Sus scrofa: one gene and its partners. The protein of the gene in region 3 interacts with the protein of the main gene of each other region in a pairwise test. Links are inferred from orthologs where the notes say so. Each region holds a gene or a part of one and is shown on either strand. Other genes may lie near its edges. The genes, in order: PPP1R16A, PRKAA2, TRIP6, FRS3, GSE1, RHOQ and LPAR2.

Region 1 (3,887 bases), on a different chromosome or scaffold from region 3:
GCAGGAGGAGGCAGCCGGTGGCAGGCGGCAGAAGCGGGTCCTCTTCCCTCCCAGCGTTGCCCTTCTGGAGGCAGCTGCCCGCAACGACCTGGAGGAAGGTGAGTGGGGCTGAGCCCCAGGCCATCCACGGCCCCGGCCCCGGCCCCTCACCCGGCTCAGACCCCAGAGGTCTGCCTGCCTCACAGAGCCCCAGGTCTGTCCCTGCTTCTTCAGCCCCTGACGCCTGGTGGCCGGTGACCTCAAGGGGTAGCCCTCACGGCGCGGGCTCCTGCTGCGAAGGTGCCGCCAGGCGGGGTGGCCTGGGGCTTGGCTGGGGGTGCTCGTGCTAGAGTGCTGCTGGGCGTCCCTCGGGAGGGTCCTGCCACCAGCCGCTTGGGTCTCTGCCGACCAGGGAGGATGCTGCTGCCCACCTGGGCAGGTCAGCACACGGGGAGCAGGGCTCTGCCTGTGACCACTCCCCCATCAGCACCTTCCCAGGCTTCCTGTCCCTTCCCCTTGTCACACGTGCTCTCCAGGGAGACTCTCCAGGGAGGCTCCCAAGGGCTCTTCCTGCCTCCCTCCAGGGCAGAGGCCTCTGCTGTGGAAGCTGGGGTGCAGAGGGCAAAGAGGGCTGGGGAAGGGGGTGCGGCCATGGTGGGTGTGCCCCAAGGCCAGCTTGGGGCTCTGGGGAGCTCCTGGGGCCTGCAAGTACCAGAGGAGGGGCGTGTGGCAGGGGAGGGGGACCTGGGGAGCACAGGACCCACAGAGGGATTGATAGGGAGGGTGCCAGCACCCAGCCCCAGTGGGTGTCGGGACCGCCTCACACAGGATGGCCCCCCCGGGCGTCAGAGGGTCGGAAGGCCCTGCTGGAGGCGTCGGACTGCTGTCTGTGCCTGGCTTGGGGTCCCAGCTCCTGAGTCCTTGGCCTGGGCTCTGGTGTCCCTCCCACCACCTGTGCCACCACCGCCCTCTGCTCTTCCGGCTACAGCACAGCAGTCGGCCCAGGCCCCCAGATGCCGGAGCCTGAGCGGGACTCCTGTTCCTGTCCTGACCACCCCCGCTCCTCCCTGCAGTCCGCCAGCTCCTCGAGAGTGGGGTCAGCCCCGACCTAGCCAATGAGGACGGCCTGACGGCCCTGCATCAGGTCAGCCATTCCGGGGCCAGGGGGGAGGGAGGGGCGGCGGCCTGCCCTCTGGTGCTCAGGCCGTGCGCTCCGTAGAGCTGCATTGATGACTTCCGGGAGATGGTGCAGCAGCTCCTCGAGGCCGGAGCCAAGGTCAACGCCCGAGACAGTGAGTGCTGGACGCCCCTGCACGCCGCGGCCACCTGTGGCCACCTGCACCTGGTGGAGCTGCTCATTGCTCGGTAGGGCTGCTGGGACCAGCGTGGCTGGGGTGGGCCTCTGTCAGGGGGAGGTGGCAGCTGGGCCAGGGGGGCACAACCTTAGGTACCTCCTTGTGGGCAAATGTGCTTGGCCCTTGGTCTCTTGTGTTCCCACTTACCCGCCTGTTCCCTGGCCTGGAGCCCAGGACCTGGGCAGAGGCCTCAGCTGCTGCCTTCCCCGAGGACGCAGCACAGGCTCAGCGCAGTGTGGTCCTCTGCTGCCAGGCTGCTGGCACTCCCTCCAGCTCTGGCCTCCTCCCCTTCCCAGGGTCTGCACAGAGAAGTACTGTCGGGTCAGAGCGGTGACGGAGGCAGCCCCGGGGGCGGGGGGGAGGCTGGACACGGGTGAGGCCACTAGCAGGGGGGGCAGCGCAGGCCTGGGGCTCTGCACGGCCGCTCTTGTGAGCGGAGAGGGTGGTTCGCTCCACCAGGACCTCGAAGTGCCCCCTGCACAGTGCCCCTCCCTCTGACCTCTCTAGTCAGAGTCAGGCTCAGGCTGACCTTGGAGCATCAGTGGTGGGTGTTGCGGGGTGGTGGCGGTCTATCCCCTTTGCAGGGGGAGCGGCTGTATGCAGCGTCACAGGGCAGCAAAAAGGGGCACACACCCCCAACTCCCCCCTGCCCCCCCGAGGCCTGGCATCCTCTAGGGGCAGGTGGGCCCACTGTACCTGGTCATAGGGCAGATGGGGGCCGGGAACGAGTGGAAACTGCAGGGCAGCCCTAGGGCGGGCCTCCGAGAGGGCAGGCCTCCGAGGGGCCTGGGGGCCTCGCTGGGGGAGAAGGGCCTGTGGCCAGCACCCCATCCATCCTCCCCGCAGCGGCGCAGACCTCCTGGCAGTTAACACTGATGGGAACATGCCCTATGACCTGTGCGAGGATGAGCAGACGCTGGACTGCCTGGAGACGGCCATGGCCAGCCGTGGTGAGTGCCACCCTGCCCACTCACCCACCCGGCCAGGGGTGCCGGGCGTGCTTGGCCTGAGCCTCCTGCCCTGCAGGCGTCACCCAGGACAGCATCGAGGAGGCCCGGGCCATGCCGGAGCTGCACATGCTAGAGGACATCCGGTGCCTGCTGCAGGCGGGGGCTGACCTCGACGCCCCCCGGGACCATGGGGCCACGCTGGTGAGGATGTGGCCAGGTGGGGCCCAGCAGGGGTGTGGCTGCTGGCTGGGCCTGGGGCCAAGGCTCAGGGGCAGGCGGTTTTCGTGCAGCTACACATCGCCGCAGCCAATGGGTTTGGTGAGGTGGCTGCCCTGCTGCTGGAACACCGGGCCAGCCCAAGCGCCAAAGATCTGGATGGATGGGAGCCGCTGCATGCTGCGGCCTACTGGGGCCAGGTGCGTGCCAGGCGGGGGCGGCGGGGGAGGGCGCCTGGCAGCTCCGGAACCTTCAGCAACCTGGGCTCCCGGCCACAGGTTCACCTGGTGGAGCTGCTTGTGGCACACGGGGCCGACCTGAACAGCAAGTCCCTGACGGACGAGACGCCTCTCGGTGAGCCAGAGCCTCATCCTTCCGGTGTGGGGGAGGGGCAGGGGGCACCCATGATCCTCTGCCTCTCCTCCTCAGATCTGTGTGGGGACGAGGACGTGCGTGCCAAGCTGCTGGAGCTGAAGCACAAGCACGACGCCCTCCTGCGCGCACAGGGCCGCCAGCGTTCTCTGCTGCGCCGCCGCACCTCCAGTGCCGGCAGTCGGGGGTGAGTGCCCGCCCAAGGGCCCTTGGGCACCCCCACTCTGCAGGCTCTGCCCTGGGCCTTGTCCCAGCTGATGTCACCTGGCAGGCCAAGGTGCCCATCGGAACTTGGGGCAGAGTCCATAGGGCGGGCGGCATCCTCCCCACCCTCCCCCTGCCCTTCCCCAGGAAGGTGGTGAGGCGGGTGAGCCTGACCCAGCGCACCAGCCTGTACCGCAAGGAGCACGCCCAAGAGGCCATCGTGTGGCAACAGTCACCACCCACGAGCCCAGAGCCTTTCGAGGAGGATGAGGACCGCCAGACAGACTCCGAGCTGAGGCCACCACCCCTTGGGGTGAGCCCTGCCCGCCTCCCCACCCCCACCCCGCCCCCGGGCTCCACCCTCGCAGCCTGGCACCAAGGTCCTACCCCGTACCAGCCTCAGAAGCTGGCGGGACCAGTGCCCGGGGCGTCAGCTGCTGCCCCCACCCTTGTTTCTGCCCCAGGGTGCCATGCATCCTGGGGCCAGGGGCTGGAGAGACCCTCCTGATGGCCTCTGGGGACTGCTCCCCACACAGGAGGAGGACGTCCAGGAGGCCAGGCCGCACAACGGCCGAGTGGGCGGCCCCCTGGGGCGGCACCTGTACTCCAAGCGGCTGGACCGAGGCGTCTCCTACCAGCTGAACCCCCCGGAGGGCACCACCGCAGATGCCCTGGTCCGGGCCAGGGCCCACCACACCCTGGCTGAGCTCAAGCGCCAGCGGGCCGCAGCTAAGCTGCAGCGGCCCCCACCTGAGGGGCCCGAGGCCACGGAGTCTGGCCCGCCTGTGGACATGGAGGCCGCCCGGCTGGA
Region 2 (4,553 bases), on a different chromosome or scaffold from region 3:
ATGACCCAACAATTCTACTCTTAGGTATCTACCTAAGCTCTATGAAAACAAATGGCCACACAAAGACTTGCATGCAAATGTTTGTGGTGGCACTATCTGTTACAGCCAAAAACAGAAAAAAAAAGTCCATCAACAGGTGACTGAAAAGGCAATGGAATATTATTTGGCAATAAAAAGGAACAAACCACTGACAGATGCTATTCATGCACAAACTTCAAAAGCATTGTTACATTAAAAAGTCAGACATGAGAGACTCCATATTGAATGATCCCATTTACAAGAAGTGTCCAGAGAAAGCAGACTGATCCAGAGAACAGATTAGCAGTTTTCTAGGGCTGAGGGCTAACTACAAATGGGCATAAGGAATCTTACTGTGGTGATGAAAATGTTCTAAAATTGATCTACGATAATGGTTGCACCATTTGGTAAAGTTACTAAAAAAATCACTGAATTGTACACTTGGAATGGGTGAATTTTATGATACGTAAAATATGCCTGAATAAAGCTGTTTTTAAAAATGCATGTGCTTTTGCTTCCTGTCCCTTGAAGAATTACAACTGGCCCTTGAACCACACCAGGGTTAGCGGCACTGAACCCTGGGCAGTTGAGAATCTATGTATAACTTTACAGTCAGCCCTCCATATCCATGGCTCCACATTCTAGGATTCAACCAACCTCAGACTATGTATTACGTAGTACATATTTAGTGAAAAAATCTGTAGAAGTAGACTTATGCAGTTCAAATCTGTGCTGTTCAAGGGTCAATGGTAAATGACTAACTTCAAGATGTAGCAACTTCTATAATTTTTATTAAGCAATTGTACTAAGTCTATAACCTTGGATGAGAAACCACAGTCTTACTGCAGAGAGGCCCTAGTATAGTGTTAGAAACATCTCCTCCAATTGGCTGCTCTTTGGGCAGGGGCTTCCAGGAAAAGTATTTCTCATAAATCAAAGCATTTTTTCTGATGGTTTACATTTTAAGTCGTCAGTGCCTAGAAGCAGCTCAAAAGTATATACAAAAGAGACTTAAGTTGTCTTGTGCCAATGGGCTGACTGACCTGATAGGTGTTTTAGTCAACATTCAGATTACAGAAAAATTTAAAAAGACAAACAAAAATGTTAACAATTTCAAAGGGCGCAGGGTACCTTATATAACCTGGAGAGTGTACTTGTCCAGATGGCAAAGGCTTGGGTGTATAACATCAAAACACAAGAGGCCTCAGTAATGTTATAAGCGTTAATCCAATTCCTGAGTCTATAGTCATTCTAAATATATTCTCCTAACTGTCCACTCTATAAAGTCTTTCAAAACTAAAAGCCTTCACAGCTCTCACAGTACGTCAAAGAATTTTACAAATCTTTTAGGTCTTTAGATAAATACCACCCTGCCGGTGAGGCCTTGCCTGATAAACTTATTGAAAATTGCTAACCTCACAAAATTCCCTATCCTCTCTTCTCTCATTCATTTTTCTCAAGGGCACCAAATATATACATACACACATATATACATACATATACACGCATATATACATACACAAAGGAATTGTTGTCTTCCCCTACAAGAATTTATTAAAGCACCACAAAAGGAGAGATTTTAATCTGATTTTGTTTCTAGGGTATCCCCATTACCTAGAACAGTGCCTGAAACACTGTAGGCACTCAATCAGTGCGTTCTGAACAAACGAAAGGATATCAGACATGTGGAAGTAAATAAGAGCTGGTCCGTGCCACAGAAATAAACATTTAACAGCCTTAATTTAAAGTTAAAACATCAGTTTTTGAGGAAATAGAAGTTTCCATAAAATCTACAAACTACCTAACCAACATTTCTAGAGCAAAGGGGGGGGGGGAGGCAAACTACACTTACAGTAATGGATTTGCAACAATCAAAAGAGAAGTATTTTTAAATAGCCGGTTCTAGTTCGGGGGAGGGGGACAAATTAATTAAATCCATGTGACTCTTATTAACAAAAACAGGAACGTTCAATACTTAACTAGGAAGAAGTAAAAATAATTCAAAAGCAACCTGTTTTTCTACACCCCAAAATGGGACCGCATCACCAAGAACACAGACCTCAGCAGAGCACAAACGCCTTAGCAGTTCTGGCCTCAGCCCGGCATCCCCCAAGATCCAGCACCAAGGACCGCATTTTCTCTCCCGCATCCCAGAAGCCTTCCTAGGACCATTTTACACAAACCAACCAACCTTCAGACCTCCCAGCTGTAACTAACCCCGATCCAATGCAGCTGCATTCCAGCCAGGAGAAAGACCCACCCAACCGCTCGCTCGGGGAGCACCCCCTAAACTCTCAGCCCCACCAACCCAGCAAGGGAGCACGAAAGAACTCGGACGGCAGGGACCTCCCAGCTGGCCAAACTGGAGGACATTTTAGACCTACATCCCAGTGTGACCTTGAGCATGTTCCTAAACCCCTAGGGGGTCCTTGTTTTCTCGCGTTTAAGGTGAGGATAACACCTGCATCTGCCCTAAGGCTCAAAGGAGATCACCTGTGAAGGACCTAACGGGGCACCTGGCAAAAATGGAAACTCCACTACCAGGAACGCGTGTCATTCCCCACCCCTACCCGTACAGTCTCCCAGCAGGAAGGCACCTTGCCCAACAGTCCAGTCTCCCGGTGTCACAGAGCAGGGCACTGAAGTCGGGCGGGAGAAGCGTCTCGCTCCCGACTGCGAGAAAGGCGGTGGGCGGCGGCCCTGGACCCCGGGACGCTTGCGCCCCTCCCGCGTCCCCTCACCCGGCCGCTGCCGCGGGGCGAGGAAGTGACGGCTGCCCTCCCGGAGCCCCCGGGCTCCGCGCGGCCCTGGTGGGGCCGCTCCACCTGCCGCCAGGCCCCGCCGCCCGCTGCCCACCCACTGCCTGCTGGCGGCCCCGGGCTCCCGGGCTTGGCCTCCCGCGAGGCTGGCAGCCCGGAGCAACGGCCTCGGCGCGTACTCAACTCTTCACTTTGCCGAAGGTGCCGACACCCAGCGTGTCCCCCAGCACGTAGTGTCCAATCTTCACCCGCCCGTCGTGCTTCTGCTTCTCAGCCATGTTCGGCGCGCGCAGCCTCGCTCCGCCGCCGCCGCGGCGGACTCCTCAGTGCGGCCGCAGCCGCCGCCGCCGCCTACCCACAGTGCAGCGGGCCCGCGGGGGGCGGGGGCCCGGAGGCGCCGAGGGCCGGGCGGGGGGCGGGAGGGCGAGCAGGTGGGCGGGGCGGGGGCTCGAGCGGGTGGGCAGAGCGCACACCCCCGGCCAGAGCCGGCGCGGGGACGTAGGTGTGCGGAGCTGGCGGGCGCGCAGGGTGGGCCCTGGGCTGGGCGCAGGAGGCCGGGTGGAGGGAGGGTCGGAGGACTACAGGTGTGCGCGGGAGGCGGTGGCGGTCGGATGGTGCCCCGCTATCTGGGGGCGGGGCGGTGAGGAGAACCCGAAGGAGTGGAAATGAGGGTGGGATTTGGGCCGAATCTTAGCAAATGCGGAGAGATGCAAGCTGAAGGTGGAGAAGAGAAACAGGCCTGAAGTGTGAGGAAAGAGGGGTGTGAAAACCAGCTTAGGGGTCTAAGGGATCCGGGCGGGAGGCGATGGTGAACGACCTTGCTCGAAGGTCAGTCTAAGGAGAGCTACAAGGAAGTTTCTCCAGTCTCAGGTTCAGTGTTATGATACAGGTCATGACACACACACAGAACCCAATTGTGTGCTGGCTTCAGTGACCCACCTCGGTGTACTTCCTCATTCTCAATCATTTTGAGCTACAGATGGAGACCCTCCATTCTAGAGTTCTCAGTTCTCACTAATTTGGACAAAGTTCTCGGAACAATCAGACCCAAGAGTTACCTGATTGTATTTTAGCACATACCTATATAAATAGTGTATAAATAATTTGTGATGGAGCCGTACAAAAGGGAAACAGTGACGGAAATGAAGAGAGCATGGAAAGTAAGATACATAAGGGACGAAGTACTACGGTGAGCTAGGGCAATATAAAGGCACAAATTAAAGGTAAAGATTGAAGTGGGGGGAGGTGGTAAGCATTAAAAACTGCCAAGATACAGTAATATAGTAATGAAGTGGTTCTCACTTCCTCCTCTCTCCCTTCTTTGCTTCCTACTGTGTCCCAGTCTTCAAAATTTCCTCTTTCCGTGACTAAAAATTATTTGCTGATTGGGAATAAGTGTTTAAGGATTAACTGAACATTTTTAACTTTGTGCATGACAGTAGAGTTTCAAGGTCACATTCCCCAAACAGGAAATTTCATCTCACTATTTTTATGTAAAGAGAGAAATATATTTATCAGAAAGAATAAGATGTAACAGAAGTTTGTTTTCCGAGAAGTGACAAATATACCAATGGCGAGCATACATCCATTTTTGTTTAGCCATCAAGTCAATCTGATGAGAGATGATCACATCTTATAAATTATAGACATCACAGCTGTTGAACAGAGGCTATTTTTGTTCATTCTTAGGATCATCTTTCTTGCTGACCAGAAGTATTATTTAAAAAACAGTCTACCTAGCTGACGATTTGGAGAAAATAGCCAGTTATTTTTGAT
Region 3 (4,324 bases):
GCCGCGGTGGCACACCACACAAGTGAAGCAGCCAGGGTGATAGGCCTTCCCCATGGCCCGCAGAATCCGGTCCAGGATGGGCTGGGAACAGGTGGAGCACTTCTCCAGGGTGGCCTGTCAGGAAGGAGAGCAGGAAGGTCAGGGCTGGGGTGACCCATGGCAGCCCTTACAGGCATCCTGCCAGCTCCCCCACCTATTTATGTAGCCCCCTGCATGTGATTCAGTTAAAGGTGGCCTTGAACAGGTATGCGTGCAAATCCTAGCACTGCAGCTTCCCCAGACAAGATATTTAAGCTCTCAGACCTTCAGTTTCCTTCAGGAGTAACAGCTGCCTCACCAGGGCATTGTGGGGATTCAGCACATTCCCCTAAACCGAAAATAAATGCCTCACTCTTACAGGGGAATGTTGTCCTTTCTCTCCAGCAACCAGTATACAGCTACTTATTTCATCCATGCCTTTTTCTTTATTAGTTTTAGTTCTCCTGCTTCGAGCCTTATTCTTTGGGGCTTGGACACCTAGTTCCCACTCTGGATGGAAGCCCCCTGCTTCCTGCTGCTGACTCCATCTGCCACCACCCCCCGCCAGCCCCCACCACTCACCACATAGCAGCTCTCACAATACGCTCTCCTCTCCACGGCATAGAAATGCTGGCCCCGGAGATGGGCCCGGCACGTAGAACAGACAAAGCAGCCAACGTGAAAGACACGGTCCAGGGCCACAACCCCGGCCCCATCCCCAACCACATCTTCTCCGCAGCCACCACACCGGCCTGGGGACGGGATGGGTCAGGGTCAACCATAGACTGGGAAGCCAGACCCACTGTCTACCTGACCTCCCCCCACCCCCTGCCCGGGGTGTGTGGCGGGGGGCAGCTCACCGAAGTACTCCCCACTGGGCGGGTGGTTCATGTCCTGCACCAGCTTCTTGGTCAGCCTCTCAAGTTCCTCCTCGGGAGGCTGGCTCAGGGGGACCTGGGAGGTGAGAATCAGGGGTTCAATCCTACCTCTCCCTCCCAATACTGTCACCGAGAGTGATCAGGCAATTCCACCCAAAAGCTCACAGGAGAACACCCCAGCCCAGGGGCCAGGGGTGTGCCTCTGGGAGCCAGTGTGCAGATCTAGTCCCCTCCCTCCTTTATTTCCTGACCTGCCCCCCGCCCCCAGGGAATCCAGAGCTTGAAAACTGGAACATCAACCCCCACCCCCACCCCACCCAGTCAGCATCCAACTGTCTTTGAGGACCCCAAATCCCAGGGCCCAGGGCTTACCTGGGGCCCGTACCCGCCTCCTCTTCCTCCCGGAGGGCCGGAGACTCCGGCAGCCTCCTCTTTACCCCCTGGCCCTGGCTCACGGTGGCTCCTGTAGCCAGCCCCCCAGACTTCACCTCGGCCTGGGAGAGGAAAGTGGGGGCCGGGGAGGGGCCCCGAGGCCTGAGGGGCCCCCCGCCTGGGGGGGCCACAGCCTCTCACTGGTTGTGCCACCTTCACTTGCACAGGGAAGGCAGGGCCGGCGGGGGTGCTGGCCGTAGCATAGGAGGCCGGCGTGGGGCCGCCATAGGAGGCCGCTGGGAGTGGTGTGGGAGGAACACTCCCTCCATTCGGCTTCAGGGAGCCAGGGCCTGAGCGGTAGGCAGGGAGCTGATGGGGCTCATAAGCCTGGAGAGAAGCACAGACCAGAAGGCATGAGCTGGGCCCAATCCAGAACACACATCTGTGGAACCCCTGAACCCTGTGTCTGTGGCACCCAGGTAAGCACTGGTTTTGACAAGGGCCCGTCCTTGAGTGGCTGGCAACCTAGTACGTTTTGGTGGCCCAGCTTCCTCCTCGCTGGTGGGTGCATCCCCCATGTGGAGGGAGAAGAGGAGTGAGAATACAGAGCAGGAACCAGGTTGCGGGGGAGGGGTGGGGGACAAGGACAGGGAGGGACAGGAGCGGGGAGTCACCTGCCGGTCAGGCCGCCGTGGGGCGTGACCCCGACCCCCGTCCAACTCAGCCAACATGCTGGTCAGGGAATCTATCTCAGCATCCAGACTTCCTGGGCGCAAGGCCCCCCTGTCCGGGGGGAGCCCCTGGAGATAGAGCAAAAGCAGGGAGAATGCAACTCATATGGCCTCTTCTCCTGCCCTAAGTCCCCCCCACACCCCCTAATCGCGGTGCTCACCTGTGAGCGTTGGGGTGCTCCATGGCACCCCACCCAGGCCAGGCCCGGATCCTCCGGTCCCCCAGGGGCCTGGTAACACTGCTCAGATGGGAGGGGGCAAAAATTGACCCTGGGGTGGGACTGGAGTGCTGGGGTGAGGGAAGAGAGAGCCAAGGTGGGGATGGGGAAGGAGAGGAGGGTGACACTTGTGGAGGCCACCGGTCTTGGGTCCCTCTTCACCCCTCTCCCCCCGCATCTGGGGTCCGAGAATGGGGCAGGAGGCAGTGAGGGCTGGGAGAGGGCGAGGGCGGGGGCGCGGCGGGTTCCAGCCGGGCTTGGGGAAGGGGCGACAGGGGCAGGCTCAGCGGGAGGCAAGAGCAGCAGGGCAGAGTTGAGTGTTGGTGGCCCGGTGGCCTCCGCACCGCACTGGGGCTGCCTTACCTGCTCCGTGGGCTGGCGGCGGCCCGGAGGCGCCTCGGGGGAGCGCTCTCCCCTGAGGGGCTCTGGCGGGCTCCGGCTGCTTCGGGGGGAGCCAGGTGGGCCCGGACATGGTCTGGAATGGGGGACTCCAGACAGCGGTCAGGGCCCCACGGAGCCCAGGGCTCTGACTTTGACCCCTTCTTCCCCCCGACACCTCGCTTGGGACTCCAGGACAGAAACTTTTTCTGGCTTTTTTTTTTCCCCTTCCTCCCCAATTTTGGGGACGGCCACGCCCCCGATGACGTCATCGCATTCCTGGGGGAGGGTCACGTGGCCCCCTAGGCCCTAAACTGCCGTCCCTCCCCTAGTCGGCCCCCTCCTGCGAGCCGGGGCGGCTTTCCTCCAGAGCGTGGGCCCGGGGGGTGGGGGTGGGAGGCTCAGGCAGCCTCCTTTAACACGGGGCTCTTGTGCCCCAAGTCCGCACGTGGCCCCCTTGCGCTGGGATGCTCCAGTGCCCCTCCCCGCATACAGATTCGTCCCGCATTCTGTCCCCCCTACCGGCTCCCTCCAGAAACGCTCGGCCAGCACCTAGTGTTTTGGTCTTTTATTCACATTCAGCAGTTAGAAAAATAAAACGGAACAAAAACATCACAACCTCAAGGGTGAGGAGTCTACTGGGCAAGGGGCGGGGAGACTGAGGTAGCCTAGAGTCACAAGCGGAGACCCAGCCCCGTCAAGGCACCAGTGAAGGGAGGGAGGCCAGCGTGGGGGAGGGCTGCTGACTTCTCGCCAGTGGTGGCCGCCGGCTCAGCTGCCCTGGGCACAGCGAGGACCCTCTCCCAAAGACCAGGTTCCCCTAATACCTCCACCAGGGTCCGAGTCCCAAGTACAAGGAGGGCAAGAGGCAGCACCTCCCCTCCTCAACCCGCCAAGCAAAGTGGGCCACTCGACCTGGACACTCTCTACTAGGAACCGGCATCAGAGATCAGTGCAAGTGACAGGGGTGATGCCATGAATGAGCAGCGTGGGGCCCAGGTCATGGCTCAGAATTTCCAGCAGCGCCAGGTAGCGAGGGTAGCGAGAGGGATCAGCAGGCGGCCGAGGCAGGTACAAGAACGTGAGGGCGGTGGTGGGCCCTTCCTCGCCATCCCCACCCTCAGGCCCACCAGGCCCTCCTCCTCTGCCGCGCCCCTGCTGGGCCCGAACCAGGGCGTTGGCGCTGCGTGCCAGGGCCTCTGCCTCTGCGTCTCCGCGCCTGCCATTCACAAAGTCCCCCTCCTCCTCCTCCTCAGGCTCCTCGGACCCAGCCCCCTCACCCCACACAACCTCCTGCACCTCTGCCCGGATCCTCAGCTGGCTCAGCAGTGCCCGGAGCCGCCCCTCGGCTGCCCCTGGGGCCTCCCGAGGCCCCAGGCACAAGAAGATCCGGAGGCGGGCAGTGTGCCAAGCAGGCACCATGCCCAAGATGGTGGCCATCTGCAGCAGGAAGAGGCCGCAGACGTCCACGTAGCCAGGTCCACCCCGGGGCCGCAGCAGGTTGAGGGGCCACACGTCCACATGATGTGGCTGAGAGGTACCCCCGGAACCCCGGCTCAGTCGCTCAGGGGGCAGGGCCCCACAAGCCCGGGCAAGAACCACATTCTTATTCATCTTCAGGGCGTCTGCCACAGTGGCCACATAGTCCTGGGGACTGAGAGCCCGGGGGCTCCCAGGAGCCCGGGGTGGAGGGAACAGGGTGCTCAGGGCTGGGGACCCGCCCTCCTGG
Region 4 (4,615 bases), on a different chromosome or scaffold from region 3:
CATTGCTGTGGCTGTGGCTGTAGGCCAACAGCTGCAGCTTTGATTTGACCCCTGGCCTGGGAACTTCCATGTGCCGTAGGTGTGCCCCTAAAAAAAAAAAAAAAAAAAAAAAAAAAAAAAAGAGAAAACCAAAAGAGAGATACATTCAGAAGATCAAACAATTAAAACCTTGAGTAGGCATTTCTTCGTTAAAAAATTAAATGCTGGGTTTGCTCTCCTTTGGCCAAAGTGGAGACGAGAAGCCTTACTGTTTGGCTTTTCCCTCCCTGATTAAGGCACTTGGATTAGACGTCACAACAGTCAGACCTGTGCCCAGGATGGAGGGGAGACCACCAGGCTACAGTGACCTAAGGGAGCAAGCGAATGCATGGGCCAATCCCAAACAAGTTATGGGGTGGCAAACGGCAGCAAGAAATCAATTGGTAGGATTAGATGGCCTTCTGGCACTCCCCCTGAATGTGTAAAGCCTTGAACGATCCTGACCCGCACCCTCCATTTCTCCCAAGTTGGGAAGCTCCAGAAAAGTGGCTCCTATACACAGCTCTCACCTCACCCAGGCCATCGGGGAGCCGACCATGGGAGGGGCATGGGGAAGGACCCCCACTTTATTCCCCCCTTTCTTGGTGGGGCGTCATGACAAGCCGTCTGCAGAGAAGTCACCTGGATCTCCCTGGGGCTCACCTAGCATAGGAGACAGAGACCACAGGTTAGCAGAAACCTTCCATCTTCACCCCCAATTGTTAATGAAAATGACTTGCTCTCAGTTCACCCCACCTGGATATCTGTTGCACGTCCTAATGAAATAGAAACATCTATTGGAGTTCCCGTCATGGCTCAGTGGTTAACAAATCCGACTAGGAACCATGAGGTTGCGGGTTCCATCCCTGGCTTCACTCAGTGAGTTAAGGATCCAGCTTTGCCGTGAGCTGTAGTGTAGGTTGCAGATGTGACTCGGATCCCATGTTGCTGTGGCTCTGGTGTAGGCCGGCGGCTACAGCTCTGATTCGACCCCTAGCCTGGGAACCTCCATATGCAGCGGGAGTGGCCCAAGAAATGGCAAAAAGGACAAAAGAAAAAAGAAAAAAAAAAGAAATAGAAACATCTAGGACGAACATGAGATCAAAGGCAAAGGGACCATGAACTCCAAGCCCCATAGACCCTGAGAGGCCCCCTCTGGCATCAGTGAGTCTAAGGCAGCCCAGGGCATTTTTAAGTCACATGTCCATCTGAATCCTATTACAACCAAGATCACCACCTTACCTTTGCAGAGAACTTGAACTCTGCAGAGAGCTTTCTCAAAAGGACACTAAGATATACTGGAAAAGCAATGGCTTAAGAGTCAGGAACCCAATAGTCCCGTCTTTTCTGTTGCTAACTTATATCTGGGAGTCTGCCAGGTTGATCCTCCACTCCCCCAACTCCCACCCCAAGGCCTGAGTTTTGAAGGGAAACAGCTGTCAGCTGCAGAGCTTCTAGCTTCAATAACCTCTAGAGGTTAGTAGGGAGGACAAACATCACTAAAATCAACATTTTCCTCTTCCAGGACAAGCTCCTACGATCTCACATTCGGACGCTTGATAGATTTTTCTGTTCTCCAAGTTCTGAAAGGCTGGAAATTTAACATAAATGCTGCCAACCAACCAAAACTTCAGTAATCTGAGCCCTAGGTGGACTAGTTGACAAGCCAGGACCCAGGAAATCCCTGAAATCCCACCCTCCTGCTCTAGAAAAGCAATGTCATTTCCCAGGACCCTTTGTTGCTCAGCATCCTTGGACAACTTCCCAGGTAAAAGGGCTCCCACCCTCTTGGTTTGGCTTACTTCCTGGAGGGGGGCAGCAGGATGAGGAAGGTGTGCAAGGACTAGAACAGGCAGCTGGGTAAATATTGAGGCTTGAGCCACCAAGAGGGAGTCTGGGGGTGAAACCAGGAGCTGCAGGGTGCAAGATGGGGGAGGGCGCTGCACCTTTTCCTGTCCCCTTCAATTCTCTTTAAGATACCAGGATATAGCATGACAGCCCAATGGGGGGGGGGCTACATGGGGTGGAGAGGCAGGAGACGGCTCTGGTCTGAGATGGGGTGGATTGGGGGTGGGAGTATGAGGTTATTGGGGATTCAAAATGTATGAGAGGGATTGGGGAAACGTGGGCAAATTTTTTTGGATTTGAGCACAGTGCAAGGAGAATGAGGGAATATGAAGACTCAGGAATTTCAGGGCGGTGGAAACATCTGGTGGTATCCAGGAGAGAATGGTGGTTTCTGTGGGCATACCAGGGGAATTCGCAGGAGTGAGGGGGTTCTGAAGGTCCAGGACACGCGAAGGTGTATCCAGAGGGTGGGGGTGGGGTGGATCCGGGGGATTAGAGGCAGATTTAGGTGACAGGGTTGACAGGGGAATTTCTAGATCCCGAGAAGGAATAGGGGAGGTCGGGGCCGCGCGTCGTCCCTAGATCCCCGCCCCCCAGCCCGGGCTCCACCGCCCGCCCGCCAGGGGCTTCCTCGGGAGGGAGCGGAGACTGCGGTGCGGCGCGGCGCGGCCTCGGTGGAGCCGCCTTGTCCCCGCCCCGCCGCGCCCCGACTCACATCGCCCCGCGGCCCGGGCGGCGCCGGGCCCCGCTCCCGGGTCCCGCTGCAGACAGCCGCCGCCCGCCCGGAGCTGAGGCCTCCCCGCCCCGCAGCCGCGGGGTCGGAGGTCACCGGCAGCACCAACGAGACGCTGCGGGCGGGCGGACCCGATTGGGGGCGACCGGCGCGCAGCCTAGAAGGTCTCTTTGGAGGACTTTGCAGTCGGGAGCAAGGAGCATGCGCAGACGCCAGAGGGCGCTCCGGGCCAGAGGCTGAGAGAGCCTGGCAGGGGCGGGGCGGAGCCTGGGGCGGGGGCGGGGATAGGGCGGGGCTGAGGGGGTCCAGAAGTGGGACCAAAGATTTCCACTCCCAGGATCGCTAGACTGGCGGGAGGCGCGGGGGGGGGGGGCAGTGGGGGGAGCCTAAAGGGATGGAAAGGAGGAGGTCAGGACCAGGGACCCGGAAAGGAGCTGGGACAAGGGGGAGGGATCTAGATGGGGGTGGGACACACAGACAGAGGCGGGACTAGGACACCAGAAGGAGAGTCTTGGCGGGGGGACCTGCAGGTTCCGAAGGGCGTTGCGTTCCGCAAGTGCTTGAGGACCCGGCTAAACGGTGACTCCCGGTGTCTGCTCAGCATCTGCAGGGAAGCGATTCCAGCGCTAATCCCATGGGCATGGCGGCAGTGAAGCCTGCTCACTTTCCACCCGAGAGCCCTACAAATGCTTTCCTTTAGTCTGCAGCTCTAGGCCCCTCCCGGCCTAGGCCCCTCCCAGAGCCGCCGGGCTCTACCAGCTCCTGGGCAGGGCCCGCGAGCGGAGGGGGGCGTGGGAGAGGAAGGGCCGCTCTCCGCGGGCGGGCAGAGGCCGGCGCTGGGGCCTCGGGGTGGGGACCGGCTGAGGGGCCCGACGGCGGGGTCTGTCCAGTCCAGAGCGGCCCGGACACCGGCGCGTAGCGAGGGTGAGACCCCAGCAGAGTCCCGTTCCTTCTCTTAAACTCCGAGCAGACACACTGGGACCCCCGCTGACTCCAGGACAACACTGCGCCCCGCTTCGAAGGTGGGCCCCGCGAAGCCCAAGAAAAAACTTTGGGGATCTGTCGAGAGGGCACTTGGCGGAACCTGACACTTCTCTTCCCTGTCTTCCTCTCACTGTCCTGGGAAACCTTCCCACCCGCGACCCCCAATCCCTAGACTTAGCCCTTCAGGGGTGGGTTGGGAAGGTCGAACTCCTGAGCCCGGGTACACTTGCGCGGGGGCAGGAGAAAGTATTCAGTCCCTTGTGTGGGGGAGGGGAGGAGGAAATTCTCGAAGGATCCAGCATGTTAGTAAGGTGGGGGTAAGGTGGGGCCCCCGCTAAGTAGAGGTGATGTTATGTGGTCCTGGGCCGAGGGGATGAAGGGTCAGGGGCAAGGACTGATTTTTGAGCATTGTCTCTGTGTGGGACGATTTCATGCAAACAAGAATTAACTTGGAAGGGAGGGTGCAAGTCTCCTTTGGGGCCCCGGAAGCGCCCCCTTCCTGTGATCACCCCCTCCCCAGCGGGTAGTGCTGCTTGAGGAAGTGGCTACTCCTGGCCCCGAGTGTGAGCAGCCCATCCTGGCTGCTTTCCACAGGAAACCTGAGCTGGGGGACAGAACGGGCAGGAAGCAGATGGGTGCGGAGCCAGGAAGCAGGGAAGGATAGCAGAGGGTGGGAGCTCAGGTCTGGGAAGCCGTATAATTGTTTCAGTCCAAGCCCTGTTCCCAGCCCCAAAGCTGGGTCTTACAGGGGCCAGGGTGATGCCCTTCTGTGCCCAGCTGCTGGCAGAATCCATCCCTGCTCTCGAAGGTAACCTCCTCCTCTAAAGCTTCCCTTAGCCTTCTAATGCGACTTTGGGCAAGTTAAGTAACCTCAGTTTGTTTCAACCGTAATGTGGGATCATAGAAACTACCTCATACAATTGTTGTGAAGATGGATTGTATTATGTAACATGCTAGGATAGTCCCTGGCACAGAGTAAACATTCTAGAAAAGCTTGCTTTCGTTATTTTCCTTCCTAGGGTGCTGTGTCTA
Region 5 (2,836 bases), on a different chromosome or scaffold from region 3:
AAGTTTGGGTACAGGAACACCCACACAGGGCGTTCCCTTCGTGGCTGAGCGGTTAAGGAGCCCAACTAGGAACCATGAGGTTGCAGGTTCAATCCCTAGCCTCGCTCAGTGGGTTAAGGATCCAGCATCGCCGGGGGCTGGGGTGTGGGTCGCAGATGCAACTCAGATCTGGTGTGGCTGTGGCTGTGACATAGGCCGGCAGCTGCAGCTCCAATTCGACCCCTAGCCTTGGAGCCTCCATATGCCACAGATGTGGGCCTAAAAAGACAAAGACAAAAAAAAAAAACCCACCCCACATAGCATGTTTTGAGGGGAAATCCTGCTCCTGTGCGATCAAAGCTTGGCGTCCTAAGGGGAGATTCAGGAGTCAGCCGAAGGCCCCAGGTTTAGCAGAGTTCCGCTCCGGGAGGGTGACGAAGCTCTTTTCCCTGCCGCCGAGGGACATGAAGCCCTGTCTCACCCTCCCTGCCTGTGATTTGCTAAGGAGCAAAGCTGTTGAGGCCAGACGGTCCCCCACACACCTGCAGGCCCTGCAGCCTTAACCCCCCTTCCTCCCAGCCCGCAGGGAGGGGGCAGGGGCACCTCTCGGCTGTGGGGCCGGGCTGGTGTGGGCACCTCCGGCTTGAAGCTGCTTCTGTGGGCATCCAGGCCTTGGGGGCACAGCTGGACCGGTCCTTCCCGAGGCCGAGGCTGCTGTGGGCCAACCCGCCCTCTGCCGCCCAGCATGCGCAGTGCTGAAGGTCGGGGGCGCGGACCCAGGCGCGCAGCACAACCGAGAGAGGTCTGCAGGCGTTTGTTTTACACGCGTTTCCTTCTCTCCAGGAGCTGAGGAGCCAGAAACAGAAGATTGTTTCAGAAAGGGAGCGCCTCCAGGCCGAACTGGATCACTTACGGAAGTGCCTTGCGTTGCCGGCCATGCACTGGCCCCGGGGTTACTTGAAGGGGTACCCCAGGTGACGCTCCGTCGCACGAGGCCGAACCTAGAGTAGAGAAATAGTATCTATTTTATTACCTTGAATATTTAATATTTTTCACTGGGAGGTTTGAAGCTTAAAACAATGAGAATGTGCCATGCATGAAGCAAAGGATTCCAGGCCCCAGAAAAAGAACGGACTCGCCTCGGCTTCCAATGCCATTCAGTCGTCTTGGTCATCAGCCAGCAGCCACGTAGACGCCCCTAGTTTTTCTTTCTGGAGGTGGTTTTAGTCTTTCCCCACGTCATCGTTGTTCAGCTGAAAGCGGACGCTCCGTCACCAACACTAACACGTGGTCCTCTCTCGCCCCTGGGGTTGTGTGTTCCGGAGTCTGGAGCAGGAGCGGCCGCTCGGCTCCCGCTGCGGTGGGCGCGGGTCTCGGTCCTCGGGGCCGGAGGGAGGCCTGCTCCAGCTCCCGGAAGGTGGGGTGCGTTTTAAGTTAAAGGGCTTATTTGTTTCAGTTACTTTTCCGGAAAATTCCCTTCCAAGCACCAGGTCCTAGGAGCACACAAAGCAGCCGTACTGAAGCCTCAGCCCAAGGCTTTTCCCCGGAAAAGCTCTCACCTAGAGAGAAAGCCCATCAGCCAACGGAAGGTACCTTTTTGTCACTCCACGGGCACACGCGCAGAGCTCTGTGCGTGCGTTGAGTCACAGCCACGGATCGTTCCTGCCGTGGGGGGTGTTTTCATACAAACGTCAATTTTGAGAGAATAGTCAAAGGTGCTTCAGCCTTGTACTGTGTATATATATTAAAAAACAAAGTTTTGTATGTTTTTATTACTTTAATTATTGTTATAAAAAGCCTGCCATTTTTAATATGTGGTTTGGGGGGATTTTTGTTGTTTTCCTGTTTGGGGGTTTTGTTTGTTTTTTGTTTTGTTTTTCTGGGCAAAAAAGAAAAAAAAAACCCTTGCTTTTAGTGTTTGTACTGCTGCTGGTCAGGACATTAAAATACTGAAGTGTTTTTAAAAATTAAAAAAGAAGAAAAGTAAAAGAGCTTACCACTGGCGCCTATGCGGTCGCTTCATTTCCGAGTTGCCACCAGAAAGTGCCGTGGAGCCGCCACGCTGCCGCTTCCCTCCTGCTGGCCCCTCCTGGCTCCGGATGGCCGAGAGCCCCTGGGGCCCGTTGCTGTCCAGCGAGGAGGGGCGGCTCGAGGCCCTCTGCGTGCCGTCACGCGCGCCCAGCACAGCACCCAGCCCCGGGCTTTGCTCAGAGGCCCTTTCAGGAAGTGAGCGGTTTCTGTGCTAGGTTCTAGGGTGTCTCACAGCAGTCGGAGAGCAGGTGCAGAGTAGAAACGTTAGCGGCTTTTTTAGAGGCAGAGCTTTGTAACAGCCTCAAAGTGGGGTGAACAATGAGCAGAACGTCTCCCCCTCTTGCACCTGCCGTGACAGGCACAGGAGCAGCTGGACAGGGATGACCCGTGTGAAGCCTGGGGCGGGGAGAGGCGGGGGCTTCCCTCTGAGCCCACTTATTGCTTGTTCAGGCAGGGTTTGAGCTCAATCAAGAAGGCATCTCTTGCCTGAAGGGCCTGAACCAGAGACCAGAGCAGCCAGGGGTCAGTCAGCCTTGGGGGCGAGGGGAGGAAGCTGGAGCCTTGCACTGCGGGCGCCCCCTGCCCTGGGCTGGGGCCAGGGCTGGCGGACTGTCAGGAAGGCCACTCACAGTGAGCAGGGCCGTGCCCTCAGCCCCAGACCGCACCCGCGCACGACAGCTTGCTGGCAGATGGCGCTGCGTCGCTTTCTCTGTTCCCACACAGTTTGCATTGTCTGCCTGCCAGGAACCTTCCAGTTATTAGCAAACGCAGACAGAAAGTGCCGCCAGTATTATCAGCAGTCTACCAGCGCCTTCCCCGCTGCAGA
Region 6 (4,463 bases), about 85 Mb from region 3:
GCCCTCGTTTCCTCATCTGCCTAAGAGGGAGGATCACTCATCTCATGGAGCTGTTGAGGGGCGAAAATACTCCTTGCATGTGGCTGCCCCGGGCCTGATAGGCAGAAGGAAGTCAGTAAATATGAGTCAGATTTGAATGTGCACAGAACAGCTCTGACATACACACGTCCTGTTGAATAAAGTTCGTGGTCAAAAAATGGTCACGGTGACAAGCAACAAAGAAAAGGGAAGAAGAGGCCATAGTGAGAGAAGTTAAAAGTCAACATGAGTCTCAAAAAGCTCTTCTTTCAGCCAATAATTTCAACCTGTTGTTTAGCAACCATACGGCTTCAAAGTTGGTCTTATTTGATAAACCTGTTGTTTATCAACTACACTGCTTAAAAGTTGGTCTTATTTGATTGAATGGGTTCTGCCTCTTGCCCTTCTTCCTAGCTGGTAATGAGAGTAAGTACAAGGCAGGCAATGAAAAACAACCCTTGGAAAGCTAAGAAGTGGTTGTACCGACCTGGGTCAGTTTGGCAAAAGGGGGTGGCCTCAGGCATCTCATATTGCCAATGGTTTCTCAGTTCTCAGATGCTCCTATCACTTCATAGTATAGAAATGAGGGATGCATCAAGATGCCCCCCCCACAATAAGACATTTGTCAGACTAACCTGGAACTACAGTTTTGACACCCAAATCTAGAAGAGCTACAAAGGAGAGCTCCTCTTTATTGACCTACCTGGTGTGTGCCACACTCAGTGCTAAGCATCTAACATATATGCCCAGGGGAATGGTGTGAATTTTTAAAACTTCATCTTACAGATAAGGAAACTCTACTATGGACATCCCCTAAAGACACTCTCTAAGGCCCTCAGCAGCTCATATGTCCTCAAGATCTCAAGTCTGGACGACACGTGGAAACTTCTGCCTGCATTTTCAGGTCTAATCACAGGGCTGGATTTTGCAAAACTTCATCACACACATCATCTTAGGCCCACAGCAAAAATGGGTCTAGGAGGAGGGTGGCGCTGGGACAGAGACAGAGAGGAGATCTTAATCCTTTAGAAGCCACCTCTAATTTGCAAATAATGGTCCGAGGCTGACGTGTGGAGGGTGCATTTTCTTTCTGCACAATAATCTCTCCCAAGGAAAACCCAGACAAAGTCACCTGGCCTTGCCAGGGAACAACAAAAAAAACTCTTCCTCCAAGATTCACACTGAACTCCTGACCCTTCCTTCTCTCCCTGCCCCAGGGAGTGGCTGGATGGTTGTTTCTTTTCTTTTTTTTTCCCCTGCGGTCCTCTGGTAACACCACAAATTACGTTTTCAGGGACTCGAGTCCCAGAGTGCAATGATGTTGTAATAAACATAACCAGGACCAAATGCCTTCCCATCATATTAGATGATGCCATTTCCCACCAATCAGGCTCCTCTGGCGGGCAGACCACTCACCAATGAGGGACCAGACAAAGGCTGTGAGGGGAGACCTGGTCATCGGCAACTAAAAATAAGGGCGCTTCAGGATTGGCCACTGCCACTTTGCAACAGGAGTTGGGACCCACACGCCAGGCACCAGACAGAAGGCACACACAGGCAAAAACTTTCAGCCCAGGGGTTCACGTGGGGTGGGCTGGTCCCGATGTTGCCAAGGTTTTTTGTTTTTTGTTTTTTTTCCTTTTCCTAATTCGCTGACTTAAAAAATGAGATACTTGATCCAGAGGGAACCTCGCAGACACACCCTCGCTCCTAGACAGTTTCCAAGGCCCTTCGCAACCGTCTTGAATTGGGGAAAAGGAGGGGGGTGTCGGCCAGAAGCCCAGACACTCACCTGTCCGGCTGTGTCATAGAGTCCCAGGAGGTACTGCTTGCCCCCTACGGTGACGCTGACTGCAAGGGCAGAAGTGGGGGCGGGGAGAGAAGCTCACAATTATCTAGGCTCGGGGCGGTTTCGTTCCCCACCCGGACCCTCCTCTCCCAACCCAGCTGGAGGCACGCGGGCGCGCCTCCGGGGATGCCACCCCTTTTCCCCTGTGCCCGGCTCACCGGGAAGTGGCCTGAGGCCGGGGTGCGATGTGGCGCCCCAGCTGCCCAATCTCTTTTCCCAAGTCCCATAGCCACGTTTCCCTCACCCTCCTCCCCCAGGGCTTTGGGAAGTAAGGAAGGCGGCCCTAGGAAGGTCAACGAGGTCGGCCCGGGGCACAGAGGGGGTTAGGAAGTACTGGGCGTAGGGACGCCGCACAGAGGTCGGGGGTGAGAAGAGGGGTGGATCGGGCAGGCGGGGGGCTGCCAGAGGGAAAGCCTGGGGGTGGGGCCCGGCGCCCCGCGGAGGGCGCGGCGGGGGAGGGGCGGGGAGCGCGCGCAGGGGAGGCGGCTAGGGGGCTCAGCCAAAGTTGCTCCAAAGTTCCCGGCCCGGGGAGCGGCCCCTTAGTCAGCACTTCCGAGGCTTACCTGCGTAGTGGTCGAAGACGGTGGGCACGTACTCCTCCGGGAAGGCGTCGTTGGCATAGCTCATGAGTAGGCAAGTCTTGCCCACCGCCCCGTCGCCGACCACCACGCACTTGAGCATCAGCGCGCCGGGCCCGTGAGCCATGCTGCGGCCGGCCGGCCTCCGGGCATGGTCCCCCCGGAGCCCCCGCCCCGGCCCCGGGCTCAGCCCCAGCCCGCCTGGGGGGTCCGCCGCCGCCGCCGCCGCCGCTCCGCGCAGCAGGGCCGCCCCCCCGGCCCCATGCAGCGGCTCCCCCTGCCCGAGGGGAAGGGGCGGCGGGCCCGGGGCGCTGCCGCCGCCTCGGTCGCTGCCCGGATCCCCGCCCGGGCCCCGGTCGCTGCGCCTGCCCGCTGCCCCCGCTGTTCGGCGCCCGCGCCCTCTCCCCGGCCCGGCCTCCCCAGGAGGATCCGCTGGATCATAAGACTGGCCGGCCCCCGGGGAGACGGCAACTTTGGGGAGGGCAGCGGAGGGGAGGGGCCAGGAGGCTCTCCCCGCCCCGCGCCGGCCCAGGCCCCCTCCAGGCTCGGCCCGAGAGGAGGGCGGGCCCAGGCGCCTCCCCCGATCGCGGGCCACCCGCCCGGCGCCCCCGCCCGCCCGCCCGCGGGCTCCGGCGCCCCACGCCCAGCCTGCAGCCGCTGCTCGGCCCTGCGGGCTCACCCTAGCTTGACTCCCCGCGAGGGCTGCAGGGAGGGGGCGAGGAGGAGGAGCCGAGGAAGAGCGAGCGGGAGGAAGGTGAGGCTGGGGGAGGGGGCTGGAGACCAGCACTCGGGAGGAGCCGAGGGCTCCTCGCGAAAGTGCCGGCAGCTCTCAGAAGCGTCCAAAGCCCCCGATGCTGGGAGAAGACGTGGAGGCCTCCTGGGGAACCACGAAGACTGCTACGATGACGCAACAGTCCTGCAAAATTATACATATACATTTAAATTCCACCCGGAAGGCAGGATCCAGCCTATCGGCCTCTAAGTGCACAACAGAACTAGAAATCGGGAAGGAAGAAAGGCCAAGAGAGTTAAAAAAAAAAAAATTTTTTTTTTTTTTTTTTTTTTTTTAAGGCGCGCGGAGTGATGGGGCAGGGGTGGTGGTCCATGAGCTGGAAAGTGGGGACTTCTGGTTTATTGTTTGGTTCCCCCCTCCCACCACCACCAGCCTATGCTGTTCGCAGCAGAGCTTGAATCATTTACTATGAATCTGGTGACTAAGGGAGTTACAGCATCTTGAACCACAGATGCATTCCCCCCCTCCCCCTGATCCGTCAGAAAAGGGAGACTCCGAGACTGTGGAGGCGGCAGGTGTACCTGTGCTCCCCCTACAGGCGACATTCTCTGAGGCCCCTTTATGGTCCCCGTGTCCCTCGAAGGTATTAGGTTGTGGTCCCTGAGGAGTGATACACTCTAGAGCTCTAAGATGTGGCTTATGATCCAAGCGACATCTCCTATCCTCCTGCCTGGGAGAAGCTTTATAACACCCGTCTGGCCAGGTCCCATTCACTGGCCAACAATGCTCCTTCTAACTTTAGGCCCTGGGGGAGAGGGGTGGGGGAAAGAGGATACCCCACACGTTGACACCACGCCCCCCCTTCCCTTCAAGTGCTGACTTGAGTTCAATCGATTCCTTTCATCTCTTCGCAGGATCAGAAAATGCTATTCTGAGAGGCACTGCCGAGGTCAGCTGGACCATCTCTTATATCTCCCTAAGATTGTAGGTAAGCGAATTGAGACACACAGAGGTGAAGTGGTTAGTTATCGCAAAGCCTCCTCCTTGAATTCTAGCATTCAAGGACTTGGAACACACCTTGGGAAATGCTCAGTTGTGTGCTCATGCCACACTTCCCAGGCCTCAACTCTCAACCCCAAATCCGATTTCCACTGTCCTGGAAGATTTCCTGGATTATTGAAAGTTCCTCGTGGGGTCCCACTGAAAGTCTCACCAGGCCCCTCCATTTGTGTCTGAGTGTGGGTATTTATATTGCCAAACGCTTTAGATTATGCAATGACTCTGG
Region 7 (4,416 bases), on a different chromosome or scaffold from region 3:
GGCGGGGAGGGGGGGGTGGCAAGCATTACACTCTTAGGGGCATCATTTCTCCTAGATACCAAAACTGCAAAGGAACTTTTACATGTCCAAGTGTACTGAAGAACTGAATTTTATTGCTGGGGGTCTCATTCTTGGGTTTCTCCCTGCAGATTCCAACTTTGCAGTGTGACCAGGGAGAGGAAGTAGCCAAAGACACCAAAGACGAGGGAGGGGAAGGTGAGTGTGTTGGGGGGTAGCCCAGGGGTTCTGGGGTTGCCCCTTCCCTGGGGTAGTTTGGCTGAGTGATGACAACAGGGTAAGGGGCATCCAGAGGACTTAAGGGTGCTCAGCATTGACCACTCCATCCTACAGTGTCCAGCCAAGGCCTCCAGGACTCACCCCTAGGGACACAGTCCCGTGGCCACTTCAGCCGCCAGCCAGTGAAGTATCCCCGGGGGGGCGTGCGGCCTGTCACCCACCAGCTGTCGGGCTTGGCCCTGGTGGCTTCCAAATTGTGCGAGGAGACCCCTGTCACATCAGTGCCCCAAGGTAGCTTGCGGAGACGAGGACCCGGCCCTACTGCCACCTCCTGTGAGGGCAGCCCTCTTCGACGCGCCCCGCTACCCAAGCATTTTGAGATCACTCAGGAAACAGCCCGGCTACTCTCCAAGCTGCACAGTGAGTCTGTGCCCAAGGCCACCTGCTGCCCAGACCCTCAACCTGAGGAAGCCGAGGACCATCTCTGACCATTCCAGCACTTTGACCAAGAAGCCCAGGATTGAGAAGATGGACCAGGAATTCAATGTTGGGTTGTCTGGAGAGTTCCTATGGGGAAAGACTACACCGCCTAGGGGAGAACTAAAACCCTTTTGGGGGCAATGTATAGGATTCCCTCACTAGACACAGGTTAGTGTTGAGCATCAGGGCCACTCAGGTTCAGAGGTCATTCAGGTTCAATACTCAGGGTCAATACAAGTCATGAGATCCTTGAGGTCCACTCTAGTCTCTGACCCCTGGGACAGAGGTGCTTTTGGCTAATTTGATTGTGGCCACTCCCCCATCTCTGTGCCTCATTAGTTGATCCCGAGTGACCAGCTCTTGCAGAGTGTGGGCAACCCAGACTCCACCCACTCACAGGAATCCTGGTAGTCCCTGGGGTCCTGTGGCCTCTGAATAAATCGTGTCCTTTATACCCTTGAGCGTCTTTCTTTGCCAGAGGGTGACAAGAGAGAGGTTGGCGAGGGCAACATCCAACCGCCCCATTTACCCACCAGGGAAAACAAATCCCCCATTTTTTCATTTCAGAACACTCTTGAGCACCTCCAAGCAGTAGAGGCTGGGCTTGGGCACCTGGCTGAGTCACACCAGGCCAGCCCTCCCAGAGTTCTGCGTCCCCATAATCAAACAAATATAACAAAGTGCAGATAACCGGGACAATAGGGCTGTGTGCTCTGGGCCGTGGGAGTCCAGGGCCGCCACAGGCGTGGGCCAGGCAGAGAACAGCACTGCTGGGGGCGGGATTTCGAGAAACTGGAGTGCGGCCGGACAGTCAGCTGAGGCCAGAGAGGTCCGCGGGGCAAGGGAGGCTGAGGCCCGCGGTTGCTCTGAGCCGGCAAAGCTGAGGCGGGGCTGGGGTCCGGGCGGTGGGAGCCGGGTCGGATCAGGGCGTGGCTTGGAACTCGGCGACGGATTGGACGCGAGGGAGCCGGCGGGGTGGGGACGGGGCGGGGGCGCGGACCCTGAGACCACCCGGAGGTGGGCCCCGGCGGCACCAGGTCACGGCGGGAATTCTCGGGCAGCGAGTGACTCAGCCCCGCGAAGGCCCAAAACTGCGGGCACGTGAGGTGTGCCGGGACTGGGGGTGGGGGTCCCGCGCCGGAAGTGGAGAGGGGCGACTGAGGGGCCGCGAAGCGGAGAGGAAATGAGGGATCTGCGGTTCCGGGAGACCCTGTCCTCGCTGCGCAGCGGAAGCTGGGCTGCCTCAGGTGTTGGGGACAGGGCGGGGCTCACCTAGGTGGTGGGGGCGGGGCACTGCGGCTGGGGCGGGGCGGTGGGACCCCGCCTCCCGCGCTCTTTTGGTCGCTAGTGCCCAGCGCAGCCAGACTCTCCTCTGCTCCCGCCGTGGTCTCCTGGCCATGGGTCTCGGGCTCGAGGCCGCCCCATCTGCGGCGTGACGGGCGGCCCAGGTGAGGCCAGCATGGACCCGGGAGGGAGGGCGCGGGGACCCGGGAGGGCGCGGCACGTGCCTGCGGGCCCGGGAGCCGCCCCCTCTTCTCCCTCCTGCTCCTCCCCCAGCCTGGGGGCTCCAGGTGGCCCCGCCAGCTGTAGCCTTCCCGACCTCCCCTTTTGTCCCAGAGGCCGCCAGGGTCCCACCCGGAACGTCCTGGTGTCCCGCCCGCTTCGAGAACACTCGCGCCCAAAGCCGCCGGCCAAGTTATGGGGCTGCCTTACTGCCCCATCTAACAGCCGGGTTCACCTCCACGCCCCAGCACCGACCGCCAAGCAATGGCCCCACCCTGTGCACACACGCCCCCTGGGCTTTGCTCCCTGCACTAATCCCAGCACCAAACTGACCCGCCCTTGCCTACTTTCACAGCTCACGCCCCTTTGTCCTACCCTAACTGCTCCCGCCCCCAATAGAGATTGTTTACAGATTGGCACTGCGTGGGCAAATGAGATTTGTTTTGCTTCTTTAATTAAAAAAGCAAAAAACAGGAGTTCCTGTCGTGGTGCGGGGTGGAAACAAATTCGACTAGGAACCCTGAGGTTGCTGGTTCGATCCCTGGCCTCACTCAGTGGGTTAAGGATTCAGCGTTGCCGTGAGGTGTGGTGTAGGTGGCAGACGCGGCTCAGATCCCACGTTGCTATGGCTGTGGTATACAGCTCCGATTAGACCCTAGCCTGGGAACCTCCATGTGCCCTGGATGTGGCCCTAAAAAAGACAAAAGACAAAAAAAAAAAAAGCAAGCAGTCGTTTGATTTGGGATATATCTTTATAAGAATCTTATTAGTAATTAGGCAAGGGCTGCCCAACCTCACCCCACAACTCATGGTCACCCTTGTCCCCATCACTGCCACTTTGCCCTGAAGGATCTGAGTTTGATACCCTTGACCTTCCTGTCTTAACTCTTCTGACTGCTCTTCCCTCCTGTGTCCTTCCAACAAAGACTGCCTGTACTGATCTTTCCCTCTCTGCCCCCAGATGGTCACCATGGGCCAGTGCTACTACAATGAGACCATCGGCTTCTTCTATAACAACAGCGGCAAAGAGCTCAGCTCCCACTGGCGGCCTAAAGATGTGGTTGTGGTGGCACTGGGGCTGACTGTCAGTGTGCTGGTTCTGCTGACCAACCTGCTAGTCATCGCAGCCATCGCCTCCAACCGCCGTTTCCACCAGCCTATTTACTACCTGCTGGGCAACCTGGCTGCAGCCGACCTCTTTGCAGGTGTAGCCTACCTCTTCCTCATGTTCCACACAGGCCCACGCACAGCCCGGCTCTCACTTCAGGGCTGGTTCTTGCGGCAGGGCCTGTTGGATACAAGCCTGACGGCATCTGTGGCTACACTTCTGGCCATTGCTGTGGAGCGTCACCGAAGTGTGATGGCCGTGCAGCTGCATAGCCGCCTACCACGAGGCCGGGTCATCATGCTCATCGTGGGCGTGTGGGTGGCTGCGCTGGGCCTAGGGCTGCTGCCTGCCCACTCCTGGCACTGCCTCTGTGCCCTGGACCGCTGCTCACGCATGGCCCCCCTGCTCAGCCGCTCCTACCTGGCCGTCTGGGCCCTGTCCAGCTTGCTTGTCTTCCTGCTCATGGTGGCTGTCTACACTCGCATTTTCTTCTATGTGAGGCGGCGGGTGCAGCGCATGGCAGAGCATGTCAGCTGCCATCCCCGCTACCGTGAAACCACACTCAGCCTGGTCAAGACTGTTGTCATCATTCTGGGTAAGTGGCACCCTGCTTCCCCCCAACTCCTGCAAGACTTCATAGAGCATAATGTGAGGGGTGTCCTCCAAGGAGGTGATACCTGAGTAGAGACCTGAATGCTGGGGAAGGGAAGAGTTCCAGGCAGAGGAACAGAAGGTGAGAGCCCCCCAAATAGGACCAACCCAGCACTTCTAAAGAGGGGAGAAGCCCACGTGACTGGTCTTCAGCACGGCCTCGAAGGGCACAGATAGAAGTCAGATTTTGTTCTGAGTTCCATGGGAAGCCATTAAGAGTTCTTAGCCTGGAGTTCCTGTCATGGCACAGCAGAAACAAATCCAACTAGGAACCATGAGGTTGTAGGTTCGATCCCGTGCCTTGCTCAGTGGCCTCACCAGGTTAAGGATCCAGCGTTGCCATGAGCTGTGGTGTAGGTCACAGACACAGCTCGGATCTGGCGTTGCTGTGGCTGTGGTGTAGGCTGGCAGTTGTAGCTCCGATTAGACCCCTAGCC

The links.
Region 1: the proteins of TRIP6 (region 3) and PPP1R16A interact in binary tests that used the Homo sapiens proteins (3 or more experiments, as listed by UniProt). The two-hybrid records come from large-scale screens. The link is inferred for Sus scrofa from reciprocal best matches to the Homo sapiens genes TRIP6 and PPP1R16A.
Region 2: the proteins of TRIP6 (region 3) and PRKAA2 interact in binary tests that used the Homo sapiens proteins (3 or more experiments, as listed by UniProt). The link is inferred for Sus scrofa from reciprocal best matches to the Homo sapiens genes TRIP6 and PRKAA2.
Region 4: the proteins of TRIP6 (region 3) and FRS3 interact in binary tests that used the Homo sapiens proteins (3 or more experiments, as listed by UniProt). The two-hybrid records come from large-scale screens. The link is inferred for Sus scrofa from reciprocal best matches to the Homo sapiens genes TRIP6 and FRS3.
Region 5: the proteins of TRIP6 (region 3) and GSE1 interact in binary tests that used the Homo sapiens proteins (3 or more experiments, as listed by UniProt). The link is inferred for Sus scrofa from reciprocal best matches to the Homo sapiens genes TRIP6 and GSE1.
Region 6: the proteins of TRIP6 (region 3) and RHOQ interact in a two-hybrid assay, tested with the Homo sapiens proteins (2 studies listed by BioGRID and IntAct). The two-hybrid records come from large-scale screens. The link is inferred for Sus scrofa from reciprocal best matches to the Homo sapiens genes TRIP6 and RHOQ.
Region 7: the proteins of TRIP6 (region 3) and LPAR2 interact in a two-hybrid assay, tested with the Homo sapiens proteins (2 studies listed by BioGRID). The link is inferred for Sus scrofa from reciprocal best matches to the Homo sapiens genes TRIP6 and LPAR2.

Annotation. Positions count from the first base shown.
Region 1 is NC_010446.5:302,886-306,772, reverse strand, and holds part of PPP1R16A (protein phosphatase 1 regulatory subunit 16A), read left to right. Parts: coding exon 1-98; intron 99-967; exon of another isoform or gene 968-1,052; coding exon 1,053-1,123; intron 1,124-1,198; coding exon 1,199-1,344; intron 1,345-2,180; coding exon 2,181-2,284; intron 2,285-2,360; coding exon 2,361-2,485; intron 2,486-2,574; coding exon 2,575-2,854; coding exon of another isoform or gene 2,855-2,929; coding exon 2,930-3,059; intron 3,060-3,223; coding exon 3,224-3,389; intron 3,390-3,612; coding exon 3,613-3,887. UniProt on the Homo sapiens protein: Inhibits protein phosphatase 1 activity toward phosphorylase, myosin light chain and myosin substrates.
Region 2 is NC_010448.4:155,751,140-155,755,692, forward strand, and holds the start of PRKAA2 (5'-AMP-activated protein kinase catalytic subunit alpha-2), read right to left. Parts: upstream 3,106-4,553; 5' UTR 3,056-3,105; coding exon 2,962-3,055; intron 1-2,961. UniProt on the Homo sapiens protein: Catalytic subunit of AMP-activated protein kinase (AMPK), an energy sensor protein kinase that plays a key role in regulating cellular energy metabolism.
Region 3 is NC_010445.4:8,711,745-8,716,068, reverse strand, and holds the start of TRIP6 (thyroid receptor-interacting protein 6), read right to left. Parts: upstream 2,849-4,324; 5' UTR 2,690-2,848; coding exon 2,581-2,689; intron 2,289-2,580; coding exon 2,161-2,288; intron 2,069-2,160; coding exon 1,943-2,068; intron 1,656-1,942; coding exon 1,269-1,655; intron 973-1,268; coding exon 879-972; intron 771-878; coding exon 601-770; intron 115-600; coding exon 1-114. Other genes in the region: SLC12A9 (solute carrier family 12 member 9), read right to left, coding at 3,538-4,324. UniProt on the Homo sapiens protein: Relays signals from the cell surface to the nucleus to weaken adherens junction and promote actin cytoskeleton reorganization and cell invasiveness. Involved in lysophosphatidic acid-induced cell adhesion and migration.
Region 4 is NC_010449.5:36,966,844-36,971,458, forward strand, and holds the start of FRS3 (fibroblast growth factor receptor substrate 3), read right to left. Parts: upstream 2,835-4,615; 5' UTR 2,582-2,834; intron 907-2,581; exon of another isoform or gene 682-906; 5' UTR 549-681; intron 1-548. UniProt on the Homo sapiens protein: Adapter protein that links FGF and NGF receptors to downstream signaling pathways. Involved in the activation of MAP kinases. Down-regulates ERK2 signaling by interfering with the phosphorylation and nuclear translocation of ERK2.
Region 5 is NC_010448.4:3,245,876-3,248,711, reverse strand, and holds part of GSE1 (genetic suppressor element 1), read left to right. Parts: intron 1-582; exon of another isoform or gene 583-822; coding exon 823-957; 3' UTR 958-2,836.
Region 6 is NC_010445.4:94,009,746-94,014,208, forward strand, and holds the start of RHOQ (rho-related GTP-binding protein RhoQ), read right to left. Parts: upstream 2,916-4,463; 5' UTR 2,573-2,915; coding exon 2,431-2,572; intron 1,870-2,430; coding exon 1,811-1,869; intron 1-1,810. UniProt on the Homo sapiens protein: Plasma membrane-associated small GTPase which cycles between an active GTP-bound and an inactive GDP-bound state. In active state binds to a variety of effector proteins to regulate cellular responses. Involved in epithelial cell polarization processes.
Region 7 is NC_010444.4:58,295,092-58,299,507, forward strand, and holds the start of LPAR2 (lysophosphatidic acid receptor 2), read left to right. Parts: upstream 1-1,289; 5' UTR 1,290-1,546; intron 1,547-1,553; exon of another isoform or gene 1,554-1,964; intron 1,965-1,988; exon of another isoform or gene 1,989-2,165; intron 2,166-3,179; exon of another isoform or gene 3,180-3,181; coding exon 3,182-3,923; intron 3,924-4,416. Other genes in the region: GMIP (GEM-interacting protein), read left to right, coding at 150-216, 352-725. UniProt on the Homo sapiens protein: Receptor for lysophosphatidic acid (LPA), a mediator of diverse cellular activities. Seems to be coupled to the G(i)/G(o), G(12)/G(13), and G(q) families of heteromeric G proteins. Plays a key role in phospholipase C-beta (PLC-beta) signaling pathway.